Kluyveromyces lactis: one gene and its partners. The main gene of each other region encodes a partner of the protein of the gene in region 3 in a complex. Links are inferred from orthologs where the notes say so. Each region holds a gene or a part of one and is shown on either strand. Other genes may lie near its edges. The genes, in order: KLLA0_F19943g, DCN1, CDC53, LUG1, HRT3, CDC4 and PFU1.

The links.
Region 1: CDC53 (region 3) and KLLA0_F19943g share a complex: the UniProt entries of both Saccharomyces cerevisiae proteins name them as parts of the probable SCF(YDR131C) complex. The link is inferred for Kluyveromyces lactis from reciprocal best matches to the Saccharomyces cerevisiae genes CDC53 and YDR131C.
Region 2: the proteins of CDC53 (region 3) and DCN1 are in contact, whole or in part, in a crystal structure (PDB 3O6B), measured with the Saccharomyces cerevisiae proteins. The link is inferred for Kluyveromyces lactis from reciprocal best matches to the Saccharomyces cerevisiae genes CDC53 and DCN1. Residues at the interface, in NP_010150.1 of Saccharomyces cerevisiae: His767, Val786, Ser787, Lys790, Arg791, Asp794, Ile797, Gln798, Arg804, Gly805, Asp806, Asp807, Gly808, Glu809, Tyr811; in NP_013229.1 of Saccharomyces cerevisiae: Asp181, Ser224, Asp226, Arg229, Met230, Leu233, Arg237, Glu250, Thr251, Ala252, Ala253, Trp254, Pro255, Phe256, Ile257, Asp259.
Region 4: CDC53 (region 3) and LUG1 share a complex: the UniProt entries of both Saccharomyces cerevisiae proteins name them as parts of the probable SCF(YBR352W) complex. The link is inferred for Kluyveromyces lactis from reciprocal best matches to the Saccharomyces cerevisiae genes CDC53 and LUG1.
Region 5: CDC53 (region 3) and HRT3 share a complex: the UniProt entries of both Saccharomyces cerevisiae proteins name them as parts of the probable SCF(HRT3) complex. The link is inferred for Kluyveromyces lactis from reciprocal best matches to the Saccharomyces cerevisiae genes CDC53 and HRT3.
Region 6: CDC53 (region 3) and CDC4 share a complex: the UniProt entries of both Saccharomyces cerevisiae proteins name them as parts of the SCF(CDC4) complex. The link is inferred for Kluyveromyces lactis from reciprocal best matches to the Saccharomyces cerevisiae genes CDC53 and CDC4.
Region 7: CDC53 (region 3) and PFU1 share a complex: the UniProt entries of both Saccharomyces cerevisiae proteins name them as parts of the probable SCF(YDR306C) complex. The link is inferred for Kluyveromyces lactis from reciprocal best matches to the Saccharomyces cerevisiae genes CDC53 and PFU1.

Annotation. Positions count from the first base shown.
Region 1 is NC_006042.1:1,856,424-1,859,853, forward strand, and holds KLLA0_F19943g (uncharacterized protein), read right to left. Parts: upstream 2,082-3,430; coding exon 501-2,081; downstream 1-500. Other genes in the region: FIN1 (Fin1p), read right to left, coding at 1-296; KLLA0_F19965g (uncharacterized protein), read right to left, coding at 2,971-3,430. UniProt on the Saccharomyces cerevisiae protein: Substrate recognition component of a SCF (SKP1-CUL1-F-box protein) E3 ubiquitin-protein ligase complex which mediates the ubiquitination and subsequent proteasomal degradation of target proteins. Probably recognizes and binds to phosphorylated target proteins.
Region 2 is NC_006040.1:1,374,487-1,377,147, forward strand, and holds DCN1 (NEDD8 ligase DCN1), read left to right. Parts: upstream 1-1,166; coding exon 1,167-1,304; intron 1,305-1,393; coding exon 1,394-2,161; downstream 2,162-2,661. Other genes in the region: APC2 (anaphase promoting complex subunit 2), read right to left, coding at 1-1,052; TAF12 (Taf12p), read left to right, coding at 2,443-2,661. UniProt on the Saccharomyces cerevisiae protein: Required for neddylation of cullin components of SCF-type E3 ubiquitin ligase complexes. Neddylation of cullins play an essential role in the regulation of SCF-type complexes activity.
Region 3 is NC_006042.1:536,552-540,720, reverse strand, and holds CDC53 (cullin CDC53), read right to left. Parts: upstream 2,801-4,169; coding exon 362-2,800; downstream 1-361. Other genes in the region: SRF1 (phospholipase D regulator), read right to left, coding at 3,616-4,169. UniProt on the Saccharomyces cerevisiae protein: Core component of multiple cullin-RING-based SCF (SKP1-CUL1-F-box) E3 ubiquitin-protein ligase complexes which mediate the ubiquitination and subsequent proteasomal degradation of target proteins.
Region 4 is NC_006037.1:218,874-222,945, reverse strand, and holds LUG1 (Lug1p), read right to left. Parts: upstream 2,801-4,072; coding exon 446-2,800; downstream 1-445. Other genes in the region: mitogen-activated serine/threonine-protein kinase KSS1, read right to left, coding at 3,266-4,072. UniProt on the Saccharomyces cerevisiae protein: Substrate recognition component of a SCF (SKP1-CUL1-F-box protein) E3 ubiquitin-protein ligase complex which mediates the ubiquitination and subsequent proteasomal degradation of target proteins. Probably recognizes and binds to phosphorylated target proteins.
Region 5 is NC_006042.1:1,812,962-1,815,794, forward strand, and holds HRT3 (SCF ubiquitin ligase complex subunit HRT3), read right to left. Parts: upstream 1,551-2,833; coding exon 501-1,550; downstream 1-500. Other genes in the region: CHA4 (Cha4p), read right to left, coding at 1,988-2,833. UniProt on the Saccharomyces cerevisiae protein: Substrate recognition component of a SCF (SKP1-CUL1-F-box protein) E3 ubiquitin-protein ligase complex which mediates the ubiquitination and subsequent proteasomal degradation of target proteins. Probably recognizes and binds to phosphorylated target proteins.
Region 6 is NC_006040.1:647,484-651,116, reverse strand, and holds CDC4 (SCF ubiquitin ligase complex subunit CDC4), read left to right. Parts: upstream 1-1,189; coding exon 1,190-3,133; downstream 3,134-3,633. Other genes in the region: KLLA0_D07568g (FAD-dependent oxidoreductase), read right to left, coding at 1-491. UniProt on the Saccharomyces cerevisiae protein: Substrate recognition component of a SCF (SKP1-CUL1-F-box protein) E3 ubiquitin-protein ligase complex which mediates the ubiquitination and subsequent proteasomal degradation of target proteins. Recognizes and binds to phosphorylated target proteins.
Region 7 is NC_006039.1:871,053-874,215, forward strand, and holds PFU1 (Pfu1p), read left to right. Parts: upstream 1-1,382; coding exon 1,383-2,663; downstream 2,664-3,163. Other genes in the region: BEM4 (Bem4p), read right to left, coding at 1-921; HNT2 (bis(5'-adenosyl)-triphosphatase), read left to right, coding at 2,896-2,952, 3,063-3,163. UniProt on the Saccharomyces cerevisiae protein: Substrate recognition component of a SCF (SKP1-CUL1-F-box protein) E3 ubiquitin-protein ligase complex which mediates the ubiquitination and subsequent proteasomal degradation of target proteins. Probably recognizes and binds to phosphorylated target proteins.

The DNA of each region.
Region 1 (3,430 bases), about 1.3 Mb from region 3:
ATCTTCACAACACTGGATTTCTGACGCTCGTATCTATCAAGGCTTAAATTGGGCCCAAGTATATCAGGTGAAGGCAACCTCTTTGGGGTTTGAACTCTTTGTTGTGGTGATAACCTGGCAGCAGGCTTCTCCAGGAGTTTACGATTTCTATTAGGTGATACTGAAAGACGTTTGAAAATTTCTCCACTGGCTGACGAAGGTGGAGACGCATTACTAGAAAGTTCTTGGAGGGGGATTTTGGATGGTGACTCCATTTTGGCAGCTGGTGTCGTCTCTCTTTTGTTTAAAACGATCATTTTTCCCGCAACTACGTCTCATCTCGATTGAATCAAATCCGTTTGTTTACATTTTTTAAACAATCTGTATACACAATATCTCAAAAATCTGGATAATAGTCAGATGCTTTATACCGCAAGAGTATAAAAGTTTATGGTTTGTACAGTTTGTACGAAATTGGAGTCTATGTGTCATGTGCTATGTTGAGTTTATCATCTCTTTCTTTAATCAAATAGTGTTTCATCGTTAATGACTTGGTATACTTGATTACTTTCGTAACCAGATGAATAAAATATTGGCTTCGTAAATTTTTGTTCATCCTGTTCATCAACGATAGTTGGCATATCGTTGATAACCAGTATATGTAACCTGGGGAAGAGTTTTAGAAAGAAGTCGAAAGTTCTCCTCATTGAATGACATATACAATGATACAAAGAAACGATATCTTCCGGAGTTATTTTAGTATCAGTAGTGTCAGATTCATATTCGTAAAACAGGTCATTTAGAAGCTCGTTACTCTTCTTAGCGAGTTCTTCAATTGACTTTGATCTGTATGCAATGCAGGGGGACGTTGTTAGTAAATGGAAATAAGGGATTATTGGGTAGAGTTTAAAGATATGGTTGATGAAATGTTTAGAATGAATATCACTCGAGTTTTGAATCATGAAAGCCTGTTTGGTAGGGAAATATTTTTTGAGAATAATGTCACTGTAAACATGCTTGCAACTATCGCATAGGCACATTTGATTGAGTTCAAATATTGCAAAGTCGTCTAGTTCAATTACGTCAAGAATAGGTTCATCCAAGTCGTCAAATTTACAATCTATGTATTTCAACGTCTTGATGCCAGATAAAATGGTAAGGATGTCTTTAGATAAGACGTGATCAAACATAAAGTCTAACTTCAGTTGTTCCAATCTAGTGAGGTTAGAAAACAAGGATAATAGGAAGTTTTCGTTGTAAAATATAGACAACAACGAAATCTCTTTGAGGTTTTTAAAGTTAGAAAGATCGAACAAACCATACTCTTCGTATACATCCAACGTTTCCGTCTCGTACCACGACAAAATGGAAAGCTTTTCCAAAGTATTCACATCAAATAAATCACTAAATTTTGATGTTCTTGGTGCACTCTCGAATCCTGGAAAAGAATCATTTCGAAGATTTAAACATAGTTCAGTTAACTGTAACTTTTCCGATAGTGGGACAAAGTTTGGGAACCACATGAGTGCATCAAAGTATATTGTAAGGCTCTTGATATTGGCCCAATTAAATTTGTTTGCCATAGATGTTATGCTAGTCAAGTACGAAGCATATGCAGGCCCCGGAAGTTTTGCATGCGGGACTATGTCTAAGGATTTTAACTGCGATGCAAGCTGAGACTTGGAGATCGTTTCGAATGTTTCGATATATAGAAAGTTCTCAAAATAAGTAATATTTGTCGCATGTTCACATATGAGCCCGGTAAACCTTGTCAATAAATTCCGATTTAAATGCCAAGTACAGTGTATCTTATTTATTAGCTTGCAAAGTTCAACGTTCTTGCTTAGAGTATTGAATAGCGCTTGAAACTTAACTGATGATCGCCCTGCTTCAGAAAACACAAGCGTAGACCAGTTGTTGCCAAAATAAGGATATTCTGGGATGTGTATAATTGGTCTTTCGTTCAAATATAGGTTTTGGTAGAGTGACGCCACTGTTTTATCGTAAAGTTGGTGAGATACCATCATCAAGGATGATTTTTCGATTTGAGATAAATATCCCAGTATCTCAAGCCATATTTCGTTCGGAAGCTGTTCGAGCATTTGTGCTGTTATATTAGTGCTGTTTTCATCAATTGAGTGCGTTGTTGCATTCCGTGTGCAAAAGTTAACAAGCGTTTCCTGAGGCTAAGGTAGCATTTGTATTAATTCATCAGTAGCTTACAAATGATTGGCAATGTATAAGAATGTCACGTGAGCGAATGATATGGTTAGTACGAATTTCACAAGAATAAATATCTAGTCCATATTACCCTCCGTGGTTTTATGGACATTTGGTCAATTTGAAACAATACAGAGATGATCAGCAGTTCCCCTGCATAAGGATGAACCGTTTTACAAAGAGATTTAAGATTTTTTTTTACAACTTGAAATGAGCCAAATTCAAAATGGAGTACCAAGCTTTTCGATAATTGAATGATTGGTTAACGAATATGTGTCGCCAGCTGCGACAAGTACACAAAAAAAGCCTGTGAACAATAATACATATATACTAAAAAAAAAAAAACAATGTCTATAATAAAAAACCTCCTCCGTTCGAATCACGAGAGTCGCGTAAAAGCAAAAATAATACAACTTAAAAAGTAAACGTTTTTAAAATGAGATTTGTGACAGCAGTGAACGAGAAGATGAGCAGATTCGACTGGTACTAGCTGGCCAATGTGTCAAACTCCGTAAAGAAAATATGCGACTCCTACATCGAAAAGCTTGAAGAATGAAACTTTAGATAATAGAATGATGCACTGAAAAAATTTGGCTAAGATGAGCTGACAAAGAGGAAGAGGTTAAGAGGATAATGAGAGATGAAATATGCAAATGATGGGAGACGGTGAGAAGATGTTACATAAGTAACAGTTCAGGAAAGCAGTAAAAAAATTCAGTGGAAATAGGTCAAAAATTAAAAACGTCTGACTCTGCGCAAAAAGACTTTCTTTCAGACAAATTGCAAATTCTTATTGAACTGTCTTAAATTTGAGATACAATTCAATTTTAGTGGAAGGAAGATGATATGCTCATTCTTTACCCCCAAGCGCCAAAGTGAGGGCCCTACAACGTATAAGGATAAACCTGGCATCATGCCATCGCCGTTACTGAAATCGTAGATTTGTTCATTGGTTTTGATCTCATCGATTTTCGAGCAGACGTTTTTACATGGCAATCCATTGATAGTCAAATCAGCTATTATCGTGCAAGTGAGGAAAACGTATCCCTTGAAATTAGGATATTCGAATTGAGATTCATTGATATTGCGTTGTTTCCTGATGTCTGTGAACAAACTCTTCAAAATACGGCAGTCCAATGGGTTAGCAACATTGACGTGAATAGTTTTCATTCTCTTATTGAAATAAAGAGTCAAGTCACCGGAATCGATTTGTACCACCAAATCCCTCGGA
Region 2 (2,661 bases), on a different chromosome or scaffold from region 3:
TCATTATTTTGGAATGGAAATATCCCGAGTAGTAGCGTTTTTATAATATCCGGTCTTGGATTCAAATATACTCTTACCGCCTTTGATAGCGATCGGAGACAAATGCCCATCGGATCAATTATCTTTAAACATTTCACCGTCTTAATGTAATAATACAGTATTTCGCAAGTTAAAAGACTTGAGGTGAGAAACCTTGATACAAATCCGTGATATAAGGTCTCAAGCACTTTTGTGCCGACAGTTTTTATGTCTTTATTCAGGATGCTCCTCAATTCAAGCAAGCATTTCCTCGAAGCAGGAAATTTCGGTACAATATCCGTATAAAACTCGTCGCATTTATATTTGATATAGTTTTTCTCGAAAGATTGATATATTATGGCTGTCAATTCATGATCATCTTCTATAATCAACAACTTGGAGAACTTGGACCAAAAATCTTTGATGAAATGGTTATAAGTGTTCATTACTAAGTATCGATCGTCAATCTTATTTTTCATTAGTTTCTGTGACATCTGATCTACTTTTAGGTTTATTATCCTAACATTGAACTCAATCTCTTGTCCATCAAATGCCGGTGCCAACCATTGATACATTTGATCAAACCTAACTAGATCATTATCGAGAATATGTGACTCTAATTTCGCATGCAATTGTTTCCTGAATTCATTATTCTTTTTCATCAACAACCGTTTGAATGAAATCATCTCCTCCTTTATCCAGTATACTGACGTTCCAAACATGAATTCGACCTTAGATATGTATAGTTTCTCTAGCTTGATCATATCCTTCCAGTTGACTATATCATCAAATTGTAAGAAGAAATGCGTTCGTATAAGCGTGAGGTAGTACTGCTCGATGAGAAACCGCGTTCTTTCATCGCTCTGCTCTAACACAACTTTCAAACATTGTTTAATTCGTAATGTCGGTATTTGTGGTTGGAATGTGGGATTGAGCCACGCAAGAACCATATCTACCTCTTCTTCTAAATTCGAAGCTAGGTTAAGTAGAATTTTCTCATGAAGTAATTTAAGTTCGTCATCAGTCTTAGTCATTCGGTCAACGGTGCTGGGTCCCTTTAGTCCTGCTTCTCATCACTTTTCACTATGACCATTACGTTTGTTGACATATTTTAAATATACAGACAAGTTCATTTTAAGTGAAATTACATGTTTTACTTCATATTCGTTTCGAGTTTTAGGGTAAAGAAGAAAGCAATCTACTCGCGACAAAACGCCAGAGCAAGCGATCATTTACTCGTGGATAACAACCCTTCAGAAATTTCATCGTATTGTGTTTTTATAATGGTATGTTTTTTACTATGCCTCTACCCTCTGGTCAGGTGAATGACACCTTTACTAACAAATGCTAATCAAATAATCATTTGGAAAAATAGGAGAAAGAGTTCATGAACCTCACAGGATGCACGTACTCTGTTGCACAGGAATACCTTCGAAAGAATGGAGGGCGTGTCGAGTACGCTTTGAACGATTATTATGATAATGTGGATACCATTGGAGGTATGCGTCAATCTTACAATCCCAGTTTAGTGGCTATCTTTGAGAAGTACTCGAATGGCGTTTCGGCAACAGAATGGGACTCTTCTGGGCTAATACGGTTTATTGAAGACCTCGGTATATCGATAGAGGACCCAATCACGCTATGTCTTTCTCAAATGCTATGCATCGACGATTTAACAAAACCAGTATCTCGAGAACAATTCCTAAATGCCTGGTCAGATTTATGTTGCGACACTTTAAGAAAGATGAAAGCCTATTTACATACGCTAGAAGAGAGACTGGAGACGGACAAAGATTATTTCAAATCAATCTATTCCTACACTTTCCCATTGAATACAGACGAGGGATCTCGTCATTTACCTAAAGATGTCGCAATAGAATACTGGAATATTTTCTTTAAAGACAATAAATATGCGTTGAAAATCTCCAAGGAGAGACTTAATTCATGGCTTGAATTCATCAATTCTGACGACTCGGATCCAAGGAAACAGAACATCTCAAACGATATATGGTTGATGTTCTATAAGTTCATTGAACAATACCCCAATGACGAAAGTTTAAAACAAAACTATGATGAAATGGCTGCTTGGCCGCTACTTATAGACGAATATTACGAATTCTTGGAAGAAAATGACAAGCTGTGATGCAGCGCAAACACCTATATCGCTTATGAACATATTCATAGATACATATATTCATATATACGCATTGTGTATGTTGTCAGGGTAACACTTGTCTTCCTATTCCTTTCAGCATCAAAATTCAAAAATATTTCAAAGATCAACAAGTGAATAACAATCGAAAGTAGTTGCCGCGAGGTTAAAGCAAGGGCAAAACGGGGGCAAAGAAGGCCAGCACGAGGGTATTTCGACACTTAAAGTGGGCTTGCGGTGTGCATTTCGGATTACGAACCAAGATACGGACAATGTCAGGCCAAGCAGGTAATGTACAGCTGCAGAACCTCACGCCAGCTTCTATGCAGCAATTGGCGGATAGACTAAAATCGTTAGTTAACGAAGCTAAGCGAATTGGTGTAGATACCAAGGAAGGGAAAGAGCTATTGAGACAAGCGGCCCGTATTAAGGCTTTGTACGAGGCTTACAGTAAACAGAGGCAGCAGCAGGCCCAAGCGCAGGCTGGAGCA
Region 3 (4,169 bases):
ATGACCAATTTTCGTGAATATTCCTGTGGATTTTAAATCCGATGAACGTAGATTTTTGCAGCAGGTATTGACAAACACCTTCCGAATGATGCTAAGGTAGTCACTGAGAGTAGTGAGAGCAGCAAGAGAGCAGAGAGGGCTACCCAAGCATTTAGGTTTGGCTATTGAGTAATGAATAGTATACTCGTCGGTCCTTTCATGATGTCTCTCTTTTTTTCTTGGGAATATTCATGCTTGAAAATATGGGGCCCAAGGTTGACCTTTGGTCGAATGGTCGAATGGTTGCGAAATATATGTTGATACATATACATTTCTTATACATATGTATGGCGAAGTAAAAGGTGGATAAAAAAGTGAGCGTTTACGCTAGATATTCATAGCATTCACCGTCGTCTGTCCTTTTCAAATACTCTTGTTCTATTAGATTGTCGACAGCTTTTTTGATCATGGACACCTTGGCGTTGAATCTCTGTTGAGATTCGGCAATACACTCGTTCATCAATGAACTGTGTGGTAGTTTTCTCTTTGCCTTCATAATTCTCACTATGCATGCTCTTAAGAACATCAATCTTTGTTGATTTAGTTCCTTTTCTGCTTTCTTTTGCTCAGATGCCTCTGTTTCATCTAATGCAGATCCATTAACGGTTGCAGTAAAGGTTAGATCATTTTTCACAGCGGCTGCAAAATTAACACTAGTTTTCGATAATCGATAGGGTTTGTTTAAGGTGTACTTTGTATCTAACTTGATCATACTTTCCACCCCTTCTGGAGATTGTATTAATAGTTTCATCTTCACAAACGGATACATATTAGACGCAATCTGTGTAGCCTTCAAATTGGTTCTCTCTTGTATTTGTTCAAAGGTCAACGTAGATATATCATTAAACAAGGTAAGAATCGCCATTTGGAAAATAGTCACAGTGAATTGGAATGGTGGTTTGCCTGGTTTACCAATATGTGCCTTGATTTCACCACGAGACATTGGCCATAGCCATTTCAATATTCTACCAGAATGCTTGTCAGTATACATGGTTTCCAATTTGTTCTTACTATGTTCAAGAACTGGTGGTAATGCGAATTCTGTTGGTTGATAGCTGAAGGGCCATACATTGTCTGCAAGAATTAGAGGTTCTAATTCAGGAACTTTGCTTCTGAAAGTTGCGGCGCTAGTAGTATTATTCCCATCTTGTGAAATGAACGTGGAAAATTCATCATGCAAGTTTTTAGATAATTTGACATCTTGTAGCATCTTGGTAATCTTGCTGGTGTATTCAAGACTGTTCTCGGACTGTAGTCTTTGGATAATGATTTCTTCATCAGCTTCTGATTTTGATGATCCATGAATTAATCTTTTTGCTAAATTTTTTCGGTAATGCATCTCAAATGCATCCTTGTCGGCCAAGAACTTAAAGACAGTCATGATATCATCCACGGTCAAATCTACCTGTTCATTATTCTTGGTCGACTTTTTGAGCAACTGGTCACTGTATTTCGCCAACATCTCAGGAGCTCTAGAAGTCGCAAATTTAGGTGAACCAGGAGGAATAGCGAATGAGTTATTGTTAATGAAGCAACGGCATCCATAGTCTAAAGCCTTAGCAAAAGCAGGATGATTTTCAAAACATTCTATGGTGATATTGTAAAAGAGTTTGTAAACTCCTATTAAACATTTCAAGTAATCTCTAGGTGATAATCCCGGTTGCCTTTTAGCGTTTGAATCTTGTGCTGCACTCTTATTATGTGCATCAATTAATTTATCGATTTCTTCATTTCCGACTCTCTTGATGTACATATCAAAAGTATCCACCAAATCTGGTAACATTCGGTAATCGCGTTTCATCAATTCGTATATGAGCTTAATCAATCTTTGATCTTGCTTATCCAAAAGTAAAATAAACTCTTTTTTTAACTTATCGGCATGATCAGCAATCAAAACTTGGTTCAAAGCTGTAGACAATGGTGCCGATGTATGGGAATCCAAATATAAAATCATGTCCTTTTCTTCGAAGATTATGCATTCATTTGCCTTTTCGATGTATTCAGAGACACTGTGAGAGTCTAAGAATTCGTTGGACATCTTCGTGTAGTATTCTTTTGTCTTCTGTAGGAATGGCTGTTCGAAGTTTTGAATATACACATTCAAATTCAACTTCTTTAAGTCTGATGGATCGATACCTAATATCACAAAGGATTTTATTGCTATTGTAATAGCAGATTTATTCACTAATTCACCCCTCCGCTGCAAATCCAATTGATCGAATATTTCAGTAACGAGTTCCGTCTTATGTGTTTCAAACATAACTTCTTTCCACGTCATCAAGCACAAAGTATGTGCATCGAAAATGTGTCTTTTACCATCGCTTCTTTCCTTTTGCACCCAGTAACGGTTCATATAGTCGAAGACCCGATTTAAGAAAATAGCTCCGATTGTAAATCTTTCCCAGCGTCTCACGTAGAAATTCAAAAACGTTACATTATCATCTTTCTTTAAATTCGATATGTAATCTTTCAAATAATTCTTTAAGTTCTCATAGATTTCTCCTCCAACAAGAATCGAAGATTGATTCATTTGCTTCCCTATAATATCAGATTGGAAATGACCTGTAGAACGTGACTTGTTGACACAGTAATTATAAATCGCCGTGTATACCTCCATGTACATCCTTGGGGAAAGAACTTTCTGAACTCTGTTTGTCTTTATATCCGATGTACCATCACGATCCAAGATCTGGTCGATCCCAGGCTTCACAAAGTTCCATGTTGCTTCCAAATCATCTGATCTAGGTAATGTGTCTGCCATAGCTTATTAGACTTGTTTCTTATTGATTGCACGTGTAGTTTCTTTTACCAGTAATATTTCTATTGAACGATGCCTAAGTTATCTTTTCTGAAGCGTTAATGAGACTTGCTTCCCACTAACCCAGTTAAATATACGCTTTAGAATAATAGTATTCCCAAGGGCGCAGGTAGCGGTACTTGTAAATAAAGATTTGGTAGTAAACTGAAATCAGCAGCGATAGAAAATACAGTTCGAGTCCCAATTAGTCGAGCAACCCTTTTCAATGAATCGAAAGAAAGGATAAAACAGAATAGAAAGCGCCTTCACTGCTAAATATGAAATGCACCACTTGTTGGCGGGATCCTATAAAAAAGGGTCACACAGGAAAACTTTATATTGCTTCTATCGTGAAGTATCTCCGAGTTGTTCGATATTTTGACCCTTTTTGACAGCCTTACTTGTTATATACTGATTTATATAATTGCATACTATGTTACTATAATTTCTTATATTTTTGTTTTCGTTTGCCACACATTATTGGAATATCAAAAAATCCTGAATTGTTCCTCAATATGAATCTGATCTTATTATTAAAGTACTTAAAAGAGGGTAAGGATTACAGCTTTCGGCAAATATACTTTAGCATACTGCAGTCGTCTAATTATGTTGTTTAATACAGGGCCCAAACTTATATGTTTATAAGGTTTTCTTTGGTACTTTTGATTTTCTTTTGTTGGGTTTGTAAACAAATTATGTACTCTCATGGAATAATGATTTATTTAAAACAATTAATCTACAGGCGTCTTAAGTCGGAAGGGCCCGTTTCAAGAATAGTCTTAGGGTCTTGGAGCACCAGAACTGACTCTTTCCACGACCCTTAATATGCTAATACTGAACGTTACAACCCAAGTGACCAAGACCAAGAAAAGGAACGCCGCGAGCGCCCTTTGTTTGTCACATATATATCCTACGTGCGGAGGATCAACTTGTGACGTTCCAGTAGATGTGCAGACCCATCGATTATCATATAATGTATTGAAGGTAAGCGATAAATTAGCACTTGAAAATATGATGAATAAAAGGTCCAGCATAATTAGTCTGACTTTAGTCATAGGATCTCTAATTCCTAGCGGTTTCCCTGAAAATTCGTCATATCCGATATAAACCAAATATAATATAGCGATGGAATTAACACATAGCGCCATGATAGTACTTGGTTGTTGAGGTATTGATGATTCGAAGGATTCGACAGTGGAATCCGAGTTCTGGTATATTCTACTTGCTAGGCCAAGAGAGATTATGCAGAGTATCACAATGAGAAATCTCAACGACAAAGGTAGATATTGACTTTGCAATAAAAGTCTTCGTAGTCTTGGTAACCATTGTTGTT
Region 4 (4,072 bases), on a different chromosome or scaffold from region 3:
ACTCACTGTAACACTAAATATAAACTATTTGCATCTCTTACTAGATCAGGTTTTCCCAAAAGAAGCCAGTCGAAAGTACCTGTCGTTAAATTGCACTTTTTTTCATTCTCGAGAGACAATCGTGCACTAAAAAAAAAAAGCTCCTACGAACCCAGCAATGGGGTGAACAGAAAAGGCATAACAGTTGCCTTTTGTTTATTTATTTCCCAATTAGGTATAGTAATGAACTGCCAGTCAGCTACCCTGACTGTGTCTATGGCCAAACTGCACAAAGGAAGCTATAGGACGGGATGCAGGTACCAGCACTGGGTTGCATAAGAGGCCCGCAAACTTTGTGCGAGCGTGATGTGAGGTGTATTTATTATTAAATTTAAATTTCTCTAGACACAGTATATGCGATTTGTCACAAATGATTCACAATTTACATAAAAAAGGGCAAGCTTGATTAAGTCTTGAGAGAATAGTAGCGATACATTCCGCGTTCCACAGTGCCAAATACTTTGTATTCTTGCAGTTGCTCGTAGTGGATACGGTACCGCTTGTTCATTTCTGGTTCATTAGGGTCATAAACGTAATCTGCACTTAGTTTGTTTTTGTCGTTTTTTTTATAGTGTTCAGAAGAAGGAGTGGACAAGTAGTGTGGCAAAGACGTTTGGGATTGAGATTGAGACTGTGAGTGTTGCTTGAATGCATTCGTCAGATTGGATGTGTTACCGTTATTGTTGTTGTTGAGGTTATTTTTGGAAGAAGAACGATGATAACTATTGAACAAGCTCATCTGTGATCTTCTTCTCTGAAGTTCAGGATCGTTCAAATAATCATAGTCCGTTTCAGCATTCTCGTATTCACTTTCCGTAAGAGTGGGATCTGCAGAGGTTGCGGATCTGTCCCAGTAGATGGCATCTCTTGTGTTTTCTCGCACAAGAGGTGGGCGCGTCTCGGGAATCGAAGTAAGCGATTGGAACGAGTTATGGATTATTGGACTATTCTCTTCAATTGTACTTGCGTCATCTTCTGTAGTAGTATCCTCGTCATCATTTCTGATAAGCCTCCATCCACCAGGTGGGAGTCTTGGTGAGAGAATAGGCATTGCGTGTGTGCCTGGTGTGGCGAACCGGCCATCTCTATTGAAAAATCTTGAAATTGGAGGTTTCATGTCTTTATATATTAATCTTCTTCTTGCAGAATTCATTGGAACAATACCACATCCTAACATGATCTTGTTTTGGGCGAATTTAAGAAAGTCGGGTTGCTTTACGATCTCAATGATCTTTCTCCCATCGGAATCGTATCTGGTCAATGAGGCTGCTTGGTCGATATTTTCACGATTCAAATATGGGTCACACTTGTATAGCCAATACCTTCTACCATAAGATGAATCGATGTAACATTTCCATTTGACGCTTTCCATGTTCTTTATATCTTGAATAATTGATGTTCTTCCAGTCTTGTTTTTGAAACAGTTCAATTCATGACGATCATTCAGGTTTTCAATCTGCTGCCAAGAGTCAAATGATAATTCCAATGACACTAAAGAATCGGAACATGTGAATAATGCAGGATCCTGGATGGTCCATCGATTAATATAGGAGTTGTTCGAGATATTTAAAAATTTTAACTTTTGTTCAACCTCGATGTCACTATCATGAACAGGTGATAGGAACTGTATTATTCTATCGTAAGGTACATTAGTATCCTTTATATTCAAACTTTTCAATGCTGGAAAATTCAACTTTATAAACTGTAAGGAATCATGGCACTGATAATAGTGCGGAGTTTTGATTAGCGTGCGGTCATCTGAATAGTGCAATGGCAGTCCTCCGATGTTAAGGTATTCCAACGTTTTATTGTGTCCATATTGACATAACTTCTTTAACAAAAACAATGTCTGCGTATCGGTCCATGTTGACGTATGTGGATGCACTTGCACGTTTAGCCATTGTAGCGTACTATTGTTATTTTCATCTGTTACAGCTGGATGGTATGAAAAGAACTCCAAAATTCCTCTTGGCGTCAATTGCAAACATTCTCCAAAGGATAAATGTGTCAAATTTTTCCAATGTGGTAAATTATTTATTAGAGTACCATCGTCAATAGCAGTATGCGTTAAATCTAACTTCTGTAACTCCGGCAGAAGGTTCAATAGCTTTGAAAGGGTATTATCTGGAATGTCTGTACAGTCATTCAAACCTAGACATGTAATCTGAAAGTTTTCACGAGAACTTGGGTGTGCCGCCATCTTTTCTACTGCTGTAACAAACTGTTTTGTGAAAACGGATCCGGAACATCCACAGAAATCTACCACACTCAACACTGTTCCAGGAGAAAGTAAGAAATGGACTATCCTCTCGTCTATATCTCCCTGAATATGCTCACTGGCTAGAAATTCCCTTAGCGTATTTTTGGTCAATAATAAGAATTCCCAAAGAGTTTCATTTGTGAGGTTTTTGATCATCCTATTCATTTCTCCAGTCCGTCCAAGACCAATCGATGTTAACTCTTGAAAGTCTGCTACCTCTACCAACTTTCTTAATCCAGGATCATCCTCTTTTAAAGTGTTTAAAAGCTTGTGGAATGACCTTGCTGTAGTAAAGTTCAAATATCTATAAATGAGTACTCTGCATACATGATGGAATGTCCTGTTAACAGTAGAGTTCGATCCTAAGAAAGTTTTGATATTGGAGTGATATTTCTCACTAGTAGCTGAGTGATCATTAGACATAAGATCCTTGAACTGGTATGATAAGATTTCATAGACTATCTCTGAAGGTAACCGCATCGTCGATGTTTCACTGATCATATTGAACGAATTATGATATGCGAGCCCCGAATAACACGTTTTATACACTTCACCAATCCTTAAAGCTATTTGCACCTGTTTTGGTGCTCTTGATGATTTCTTTAAGATCCACTTTGGTTTTCATTTTTTCTTCTATTGATGCGGGTCTTTTGTTCAAGTTCTTGTTCATTCTAATTATATCGCTACTTTATTTTTCATTTCAGGGCATAAAGTACACTTAAGGTTCATAAGGGATCAAAGAGTATGAAAAACGTGATGTGGTTATTCGTAGCTTTACTTAGTTATGTAATTAACTATATGATTGTCTAATATGAGTATGAGAATTCTTGTATTACTTTTCCTCAATTTGACAGACTAGGCGTCCTAATGAGAAGTACCCATGAAACGTAAAATCCTTGAGTCTCAGTACATTCATTCAAAGACTATGCGGATAGTTTTTTTTTAGTTCATAGAATATCGAACATATCAATTTAGAGGCTTCATAACTTCACCATAAAGCATCTTTTTCAACAGTTCCAGTGGAATATCGTCTTCCTCGTTTTTATCGCGGGCCTCGTTGTCAATTTTCCAAAAATTGTCTTCAAGGTTTAGTTGGGGATAATCTGGCTCGTCATCTGGATCATGATATGTTGCCAAATATGGATGTTCCAACGCTTCAACTGCACTGATCCTCTTGTCTGGGTTGAAAGTTAGCATCTTGGACAATAAATCGATAGCAAGAGGGTTAACTTCTTTATTTAACACATTAGCCCAGGGTATACCTTTCTTCATGGGTAGTTGAGATATGTATTCTTTTGCCCTTTTACTCTTGATTTGTTCAAAGTCTTCCAAAGTTGGAGACCCTAAAACTTCTAAGATGATCCAGAGTTGATGGTGGTAATCTTTACCTGGGAAAAGCGGCTTACCCATGATCATTTCTGCTAGTATACATCCACATGACCAGATATCCATTGCAGTTGTGTATTCTTGGAAGGACAACATGATTTCTGGAGCCCTATACCATCTGGTAGCTACATATTCTGTCATGAAACCCACCATATTCTCTCTTGATTGATCACTCGATGCCAGGCAACGAGCCAACCCAAAATCACACACTTTGAGATCACAATTGCTATTCAGTAACAAATTACTTGGTTTCAAATCCCTATGGATTACTTGTGCCGAATGTAGCGATTTTAAAGCCCTTAGTATTTGATAAACGAAATATTGGATATGATCCTCTGATAAATTTTGTTGGTTGATAATCTTCTGCAAATCCGTTTCCATCAACTC
Region 5 (2,833 bases), about 1.3 Mb from region 3:
TGCCTGCGTCCAAAATACCCTTTTATAATTAGATGGGTACTTTATAAATCTATCAAACGCAACAAATCTAGGTATACTTGTACCTCGAATCTCCATGCACTCATATATCAAACTCCGCAGATCTAATAGTCCAGCTAATAGTCAACGCTGTAATAACTCGATATAGCAACTTATATCACTCAATGGCTATATGTTTTTCTGCAACGCACCTCCAATAATTCATTCACATTACATTGTTGGACCTTACTATAAACTAAGATGTACTCTGTGATGTTTTCCGGTAATCGAGCTTTTCGTCAGTTTCTATTGAAATCCGGACGCTCTGGACATTTTCACATGGAGAGGATTTAAAGTCACGTGTAAGAAGATATCACGTGAACGGGCTTTTCTCGTATATCGTCTATCACTTAGCATCGCGCGAGCTACAAGTATCCACTCATTAGTCGTGATGGAAGTACAGCTCTCTGGCTGTTATAGTAATCAAATATGACAGCCCTGATCTAGCAGTCACGGTATGACTTCGCCTTCGAGAAATGAAATGGTTTTTCTTTGCTCAATGAGAACTGCATTGTTGTGCCGTCTTGCCTCGTTGCAGAAGAAGCAATCCATTTCAACTTGCTGAACTTCTTGTGACCTCTGTTTGAGATTTTCAAGATCTCGTTAAATTCAAGCCCATCTTTTCTTCTATTCCTCTTGATTGTCAACTGATCAAGGCCGTCGTCTAATGACAGGGACCACGAACATATATCTGAGTCTTTTCTTTCAGAACATCTTTCTAAAGAGAAACCAGGTACCACTATATTTGGTTCGTCAGTAGTCAATAATCTAATGCATCTTCCATCTGGATAGAATCTGAAGTACCTGTAATAAGTGATCATGTGGATTGGGTTCAACAGCGAAGATGATCCTTCCGGGATCGATCCGTGCCTCAAATAATTCACCACACTGATATATATTCCATGGAACTTGATATACGGCCGTTCCTTTAGCATCTTTCTATAATTTTGACCCCATACGGTTTCTGCTAGTGCTTGTATATCTGATATACCGTTTAGCCTCATCTCATTTTCGTTGTATACTTGCTTCTTATAGATGTATTCCGCGAAAGTCCGGTACGGTGAGGAATCGTGGAAGCATAGCAAATTAAACTTTTTACAAGTCAAAGATAGGTTCATCCACGAGTCTGCTGAGCTTAACACAACCATGTCTATAATCATGGATAATATATCGTCAGGGAGCATATCCAAAATCCAGCAGGGAAGTTCAACAAGGTCTTCAGTTTGAGAAAGTCCTTCAGTTTCCTCTTTTCTGCCGTCCGGATCAGTTTCCGATGAACCATCAACAATATTGACATTAGAATTGAGCTTAAGCTTTTTCATCTCTTCATTTAACCGCCATTCATCATGCATCTTCTTTCTATATAGTTTCTCAACGTCCGGATTCATCCTTAATGCTTTACGGTAATATTTGATCGCGTCGGTCATAGCACCGGCAGTTTCCTTCGAATAGCCCAACTCCCATAGTGCTATAGCTTCAATCGGTTCCTCCATTACGCGTTGTTATTTTTCGTGCGTTAGGCCCCTTGGTAATGAGTATGCTTCCTCTCTCTTTTACCTTATATAGCCGACTAGCTTTTTATGCTGTTTACGTTTTGTTCAGCTTTACGCAACAGGAACGAATATAAAGTTACTACCGAGAGATGGACAAGTACGCACAATGTTGAAAAATATGAAGTGGATTCCTTGTCAGTAGCTGCCATCCTCAGCAAATCGGATTTCTTGATTCTTATCTGACTAAAAAGTAATATTAAGTACATGGCATATTTAATATATGAAGAGCTATATAACTTCAAAGTTCATTAATATGTGAATATCACAAGAAACACAGTCGATAAATCATAAATAGCCAGTCCTTCAAGATCTGGTGCATCAATGAAAAGCAGGAACTAAAACAAAGTGCAAAGTGTGTAGTGCTGTATAGATGCTGCTTATTTCATTGTTATGTCACCACCGATTAATTTATCGATTTCATTCAATAAAGTAAAATCAAAATTATATTCAAAGGCAAATTCATTACCATTAGATAAACTTCCCAAGAGTGCAGTGTTTTCAAGTCCAGTATTAGCATTTATATTGCTACTTTTTGACATTTTCATTTCATTATCGTAAAATTTCTTGGCTAGCTCGTAGTTCAATGACGGAGATCCTAGAAATTCCAAGAATATCGAAAGATTGTCCTTCTTAATTGAACCAGTTTTTATGCACTGAATTGCAAGAATCGAAGAATACAGCATATAAATGTTACTTTTCTGGAATGTTTTGAATTTTCTCATAAACGATCTTAATAAAAAGTACAACTCTTCAATTGCGTTTTCTATCGCCTGTTTACTCTCAGGAAGTGAATCAATAAACGGTTTGTTGTAGGACAAAAGGATAACAAAATAATGATACCATACATGAGCCAAAATAGGATTGTAATCGAAGTTGATTAGCGTTGCCTTAGTGAGAGCAAACTCATCAGGTAGATTCTTACGCCAGTTTGAAACTTCACTGTTGAATTTTGTTAGATATTCCCTTCTTTCCGTTAAAGAACCGGCATGTATGAATATCTTCGGGGCGAAAACCTCAGTTATTCTTGATAGCACAATAATCTTTTTTAAAGGTTTGGCAATAGAAGTTACAATTGTAGGATCGTATTGGTAATCTTCGATACCAGTATCAATATTTGGTAGCTCATCAGTTTCTGGAATTGTCGAATTTGACACACGCAAAGAATTTGAACGACCAAACAATACTGCAATCAAGTGATCGGCAATGTAACAGCCCCAGTATAT
Region 6 (3,633 bases), on a different chromosome or scaffold from region 3:
TTTTTCATTACCTGGTCGTAAAGGAACAGTAAATACAATGGAGCATTCAAACACCACGTTTCATAGCTACAACCGAAAGTGACACCTGCAGGCAAGTTGGAATCTTGCTGTTGGAATTTTTCCAAGCTGGATCCATTATACCCTGCTCCTAAGCGTTGGTATTCGATGCTCGGATTTTCTAACCAATCGATCCCGTTCATGAATTCAACAGTGGCCTCACTCAACCACTGCTTAGATTTACGTTTGAAATAGTTATAAGTCACTCTGGTATATTCACTCTCACGTTTATCCGAAGCATAATCAGAATCTCTGTGTGGGAATGGTCTAAAATGAGCACCTGCCCATGGTGATGTGAACGTATGATTGATTGGCTGATCTTGCGGGAATTGTTCGGATACAATTGTTATAGTCCTGATATCGGGTCTTGTTTCCAGTAGTCTCAGCGCACTTGACAAACCAATAACACCGGCACCAACTATACAAACTGACATGCTCCAATATTCTGCTTTCTCAATTAACTAAACCTCGGCCGTGGCTGCCTATTTCCTGTTGTTCAAATTTATGAAACTTCTATTCATATCATATGTAAATCTAGTCAGATGTTTCATTCGATCGTCTTTTATGCAAATTGGAAATCACATTCAAACAAGAAAAGACGACTCAAACCCCCACATCTTAACCCGTAATAAGCAGCCAACTACATAGTGTTTGCGCCGGGAATTAACCAAAAAAATCGGTAGATTAACTAGGAACAGCTTCAAGGCATTTTTGTCCTGTCAGTATCGTATATCACCATTACAACCGAGATCGCTGCTCTGGTAATAATTACATTCTAACACGTGACCTGTGTTGCATGCAAGGTAAATACCTATGTAGGTCTAAAAGATAGAATGGTTTAGCTTAATATATTAGCCTCAAAGCGTTTAATAGCTAACTAATAGATGGCGAGAGTATCTCGCATAGATATAGGGACTGATAACATTGATTCAACAAATCTATGTTTATTTGCACTGTTATCGGCACTCTCAACCAAAATCAAAATTAAACTCTTGTACGATTTCTTTGTACAAAACGAAGTCACATCAACATATTGACTGACAGACGGAATATTGTTTAGCAGAAAGATAAGGAGTAACGGCAGGTGTGGGGTAGTCGTAAGTAACTTCCATTAGTTAAGGGTATAAGTAACATGGATCTCAATAGGCATGCGACCCCAGGGGTACCACAGTATCCTCTACAGAATGTTCCCGTTCCATACCGGTACCAACTTCATCCTCAGCCAGCGTCTCAGAGTAAACGAAGTATACATTATCCCCTTCAACAGCTTGACGACGATTCTGACAGCGACGGTCAGTATCACAAAAAGTTAAAGCCAAATCAGCAGGCTGTTTCCAGTCCCAACTTGATCGAGGATCAAGATGGGCCGTTACCAATATCGCCGATTGCTTCCCCATGTCACACACCTGAAGTGGAGGAACCAAGTATTGACGAAGTCATAGGGACTACAGTAGCTAGACTCAGCAGTACGACATCTCATCCAAATGCTTTAACAAGTCTTATATTTGGGCTTGTTTCCAACATGGATAGAACTCAGCTTTCAGATTTGGTCAGTATAATAACCGATAACTTGAAACGAGATTTGTTCCAATCACTACCTAATGAAATCACTGTGAAGATCCTATTAAATTTATCTTCGGAAGACATCTTCGCATGTTTGTTGGTTAACAGAAATTGGAATAGGTTAATCGAGGAGGCGCCTGTTGTTTGGAAATGGCTAATGCTTAACGAAGGTTTTGTCACCGAAGATCAGTTCCCGTCGTACTGTAACAGTTTGCCCAGTAAATATAAGCATTTGATCAACCCTGACGACAGATTTAGATTAGATTTCCTGGAGAACAACTGGTGTCTCCAGAACTGGTACGATCCAAACTATAAACCAGGGAGGACTTGTCTTGATGGTCATAGTACCAATGTTGTAACATGTCTACAATTTGAAAACAATTATATTATTACCGGAGCAGACGATAAGAAGATCAACGTGTATGACGCTGAGAATGATCTGTTCCTATTAGAATTAAACGGACATGAGGGCGGTGTGTGGGCACTGAAATTTGTGGACGGTAAGATTTTAGTTAGTGGTTCCACAGATAGAAGTGTGAGAATCTGGAACATCGAAACTGGTAAATGTACCCATGTTTTCAAAGGACACACATCGACGGTTAGATGTTTAGAAGTGGTTGAATATGGTGACAGCAAATACATTGTAACGGGGTCTAGAGACAATACCTTGCATGTGTGGAAACTTCCCCCCATGAAAGAGCTAGACAAGGGATCGCAGGAACCTATTTTCTACAGGACACCAGAGGAAAACCCATATTTTGTTGGGGTATTAAGAGGCCACATGTCTTCGGTAAGGACAGTGTCTGGTCATGGTAGAATTGTCATAAGTGGTTCATATGACCACAATTTGATGGTATGGGATATCATTAGTATGAAATTACTATATATTCTAACCGGTCACACCGACCGTGTGTACTCGACCATTTATGACTACAAGAGGAACAGGTGCATATCAGCAAGTATGGATACCACAGTGATGATCTGGGATCTCGAAAACATTGAAAATAATGGGACAACTACTACAATCAATGACGGTGCATCGATCAAAGTGGTTGGAAGCATGAAATGCCTTTATGGACATACAGCTTTAGTTGGTCTACTTTGCCTATCCAATAAATTTTTGGTTAGCGCTGCTGCAGACGGTTCGATACGCGGCTGGGATCCAAATGATTATTCAAGAAAGTTTTCGTTCCATCATACAAACCTGGCTGCTATCACTTCATTCTCCATGAACGATAACATTTTGGTTAGTGGATCGGAACGACAATTCAATGTATATAATTTAAGGACCGGTAAGCTGATACACAGGAAGCTACTCACAGATTCGGAACAAGTGTGGGGTATCAAATTAAATAACAGAAAATTAGTCGCTGCGATCGAGTCAGTGGGACACAGTTACGTAGAAATCTTGGATTTTGCTGCTCGGAATGGTGACAAGACTATCAGAACCCGGACTAGAACAAGAGTCGACCATCAAATATATCGAACGTCACTTTGGTCTTCCACTCTTTAACATTAACTATCAATTTAACTTGCATTACCACATCTGGTATCTCGCCGTATGGAAATATTCTACCATCAAATAAACTCTGTAATACCAATCCTCTGTATCTTTGTTCTCTTCTCTTCTCTTCAATGCCAGCAGACATAAAAAAGTTGTATGATTAATTTATCTACGGCATCACCTATCCCTAAGACATATATAGGAGTTTCAATACTATTTCTACGTGTTACAAACTTTTCAGCCACCCCAGTACTGGTGGATACAGTCGACTACTATACCAGACATATACAGTTCTCAACATTTACCTATCTATGTCTTCTTATCAAGATAGGGTCATCCCTAGGTGTGGAAAATTATGCCAAGGAATTAATCGGGTGTGTTTTGCGATGAGGAAAAAAGTAAGTTGCACATTGAAAAAAATGTCAAATTTACACAATATAAGTACCTCTTTCGATTTTGTCCACCTATTCTTGCAACATTCCAGTGCCTACTCAAGCATAGCGTCTTGG
Region 7 (3,163 bases), on a different chromosome or scaffold from region 3:
AAATTCTTTTGAGCCTAGATTTTCGAGTGATGTTAATAGATTGTGTTGGAGGATAGAAGTGTTGACCTCATCGGAAAAATTGTAATCCTCAGGTTCAGAAGTCTTCAATATACAATGTGAGATATTATTGACCAAGCTGGGTAAAAATGTATCTTCCTCTTCATCTTCAACTTCTTCAATTTGCGCATCATTTTTCGAAGTATCAATTTCTCCAGAATTGCAAACTGCTATATTGGAAGTGCTTTCAATGCATTTACAGACTTGAATTAAAACTTCAGAAAGGGAAACGAGCTGAACCAAAGATAAAAACTTCTTATGATCTACAAAGGAGCATAAGAGGTCAAAAGAAGTTCCGACAAGTAGGTTGTACTGTTCGTCTAGAAATACATTTTTCATAGAAATAATCAATTTGAAAAGTGGGACAGCTACTCTTCTTGCTGCTCTTTCATAATAGGTATCGTTATCCATGGCCAAGTTAGAAATTAAAACAACTGTCCTCAATTGCAATTTAACAACGTAGTCTTCCTCGTCAAATAGACCAAGTATCCTGCCAGCGTAGTAGTCGATAAATTCGTTATGTTTGGTACAGTCGCCATTCCAAAATACCTCCCTATTAGCATCATTATCAACCAGGCAATTTGCAATGGATCTTACTAATTCTGAAGAGATTTGAAGAAATTGTATCCGTTTACTTGATTCTTGGAATGCATAATCCAAAAAGGAATTTAGTACCCTCAACAATTGACTTAATAGACCAGTTTCTCTAATAAGGTCTCTGTTTGATTCAGCACGTAGATGCACCGCTAATTGTTCAAGAACTGTAATATAACTTTGTAAAAAGACGTCCTGGACAGGAACATCCTTTGGATTAGCTGCATTGAGCAATGGTTGCAAACCAAATAGTATCTGCTCATATTCCATTTTTGGACAATGGACTATGGGCTTTAATCGTGGTTATCATTTTTATAAAGTGGACAGTCTCGCCAAGACCGCACTTTCAATGATCGATCTTTAAACATACAATTGCTGACTTTTTAAGATTCTACTCATAAATGTCAACAACACACATAGGTAAACAAGAAAGGTAAGGTCATAAAATAATACTGGTTTGACAACCCATGACTAGAATTCTCTCGAATATTATCTTGATTATGGCATGAGTTAACAGGACTCGGTAAGTGACCTTCTGTAATAGGTCAGATGACCTATTATTTCATACACATAATAATACTTTCGGTAGCTGCAAACACTTTTAAATAGTGAAAAATCGCAAAAGTTGAGCATTAGTAAAAGCATCGACTAATTGCTAAGAAACTAATAAGGTAAGTAATATATTTCACATAGTCCATCTATGAGAACATATCCGACGGCTTCAAGAAACTATGGCTAATAAAAGAAGGCCAAAGAAAGTAAAGCCTCCTTATAGAAAATATGTTGGCGGTGTTGGATTCACACACACTCAAGGGTTCAGTCAAATAGCTGAAGAAAATGACACAACGAATATCCAAAAGTTTAATGAATTACAAATAAACGAAATACGTAATCCTTCTGATAGCGAGGAATCACGACTACAGGGAGATTCTGTCCGATCAGATGTAACTGATTACGGTGGTATGAAGCTTCCACTAGAAATATTTGACCTTACGATTTCTATGATGAGTCCGCAAGATATCAGGATGAACTTAGTGCTAGTGTGTCGAGCATGGTATCTTATATGCATACCAAAATTATATCGTACACCAAAGTTAACTAGTCGAAACTTTTTAAAGTTTGTGGAAACGGTATTGGCAGATAGGAAGAGAAAAACATGTGAGCACGTAGTTCATTTGGATTTATCTCCTATTATACAGAGTGGGAAGAATAGCTATGTGTCAAAAGTGCTACGACGTTGCTCTAAAAATTTGGTTTCATTTACAGCGCCACAGACTAGTTTTGGAATAGCTCCTTTGATCAGTCTTAAATCCTGCCAAAACCTTAAATACCTTGATTTAGGATTGGTATCAGAAACAGTCAATTTAAAAGAATTATTCTTGGCGATCAAAAACTTCCATGAGTTAACACATTTATCGTTTCCAAGAAGTTCCATTCAATGTGACGGATATAGAGACTTCCAATGGCCCCCAAATTTACAATATTTGAAGCTCAGTGGTGGGATCACAAATGAGTTCGTGCAAGAAACGATATTTCCTAATACCATCAAAATCTTAGAGTTTTCATTTTGTCCCCAAATTAATGAACATTCAATATACACAGTATTGGCCAAAATTGGTGATAATTTGACACAACTATACTTCCATTATCCAATGCCAGCCTTAAAGGACAATTCCTTGGATCATGTATTCAGGTACTGTTCCAATTTAAAAGTACTACAACTAATGATAGATTATTGCACCAGATGGGTTTTCAGTGAATACTTCTTTACGCAATTACCATATCCTCGGCCGCTTAGAACCCTCATATTGGAATGTAGCGGCCACCTTGGTCAAACATTCAAAGTACATCCTGATGACTTAACTATAGCGATATGTGAGGGTAGATTGCCTTGTTTAAAAATTATCCGAATTTCTTCTAGGCTAGGTTGGGACTCTCAAGGCGATGACGTCGGCGATTTAGTCTCGAGTTTGGAGGAAGAAAACGGCGGGAGCATGTATATCACATACTGAATGCAGTGAAAATATATAACACATAAAATTGATAGAATTTGGACATTTAATAGCCACAGTGCTTATCGGTTAGAATGAATACTCTTATTCAGAGTGCTATTAAATCCTATGCGTACCTTTACGTTGCATCAAAGCCTAAGAAAAATACATTTTTATTTAGATGTCGGATCTTGGCTAAGAATGGTTTACTTTAAGGACAAAAAGATAGGGCCGCAGCCAACAGTGAATCAGAATGACTGCAGGTTCCATCTTTTTCAGCAAGTTTGTTGTTACAAAACAAGTTTTCTACGTATGTGAAATACCATGTAGAGGATATACTTTAATTAGCAAAGTGCAATTATTGCTTTGAGTGATACCTTCAATTTACTAACCGTTGAATTCACTACTCAATAACTTCAGAAAACTAAATATTCATACGCGTTGGTGAATTTAAAACCTTTATTTCCGGGCCATGTGCTAGTTGTGCCGTTGCGTACCGAATGCCTTTCTCTCTCTGATCT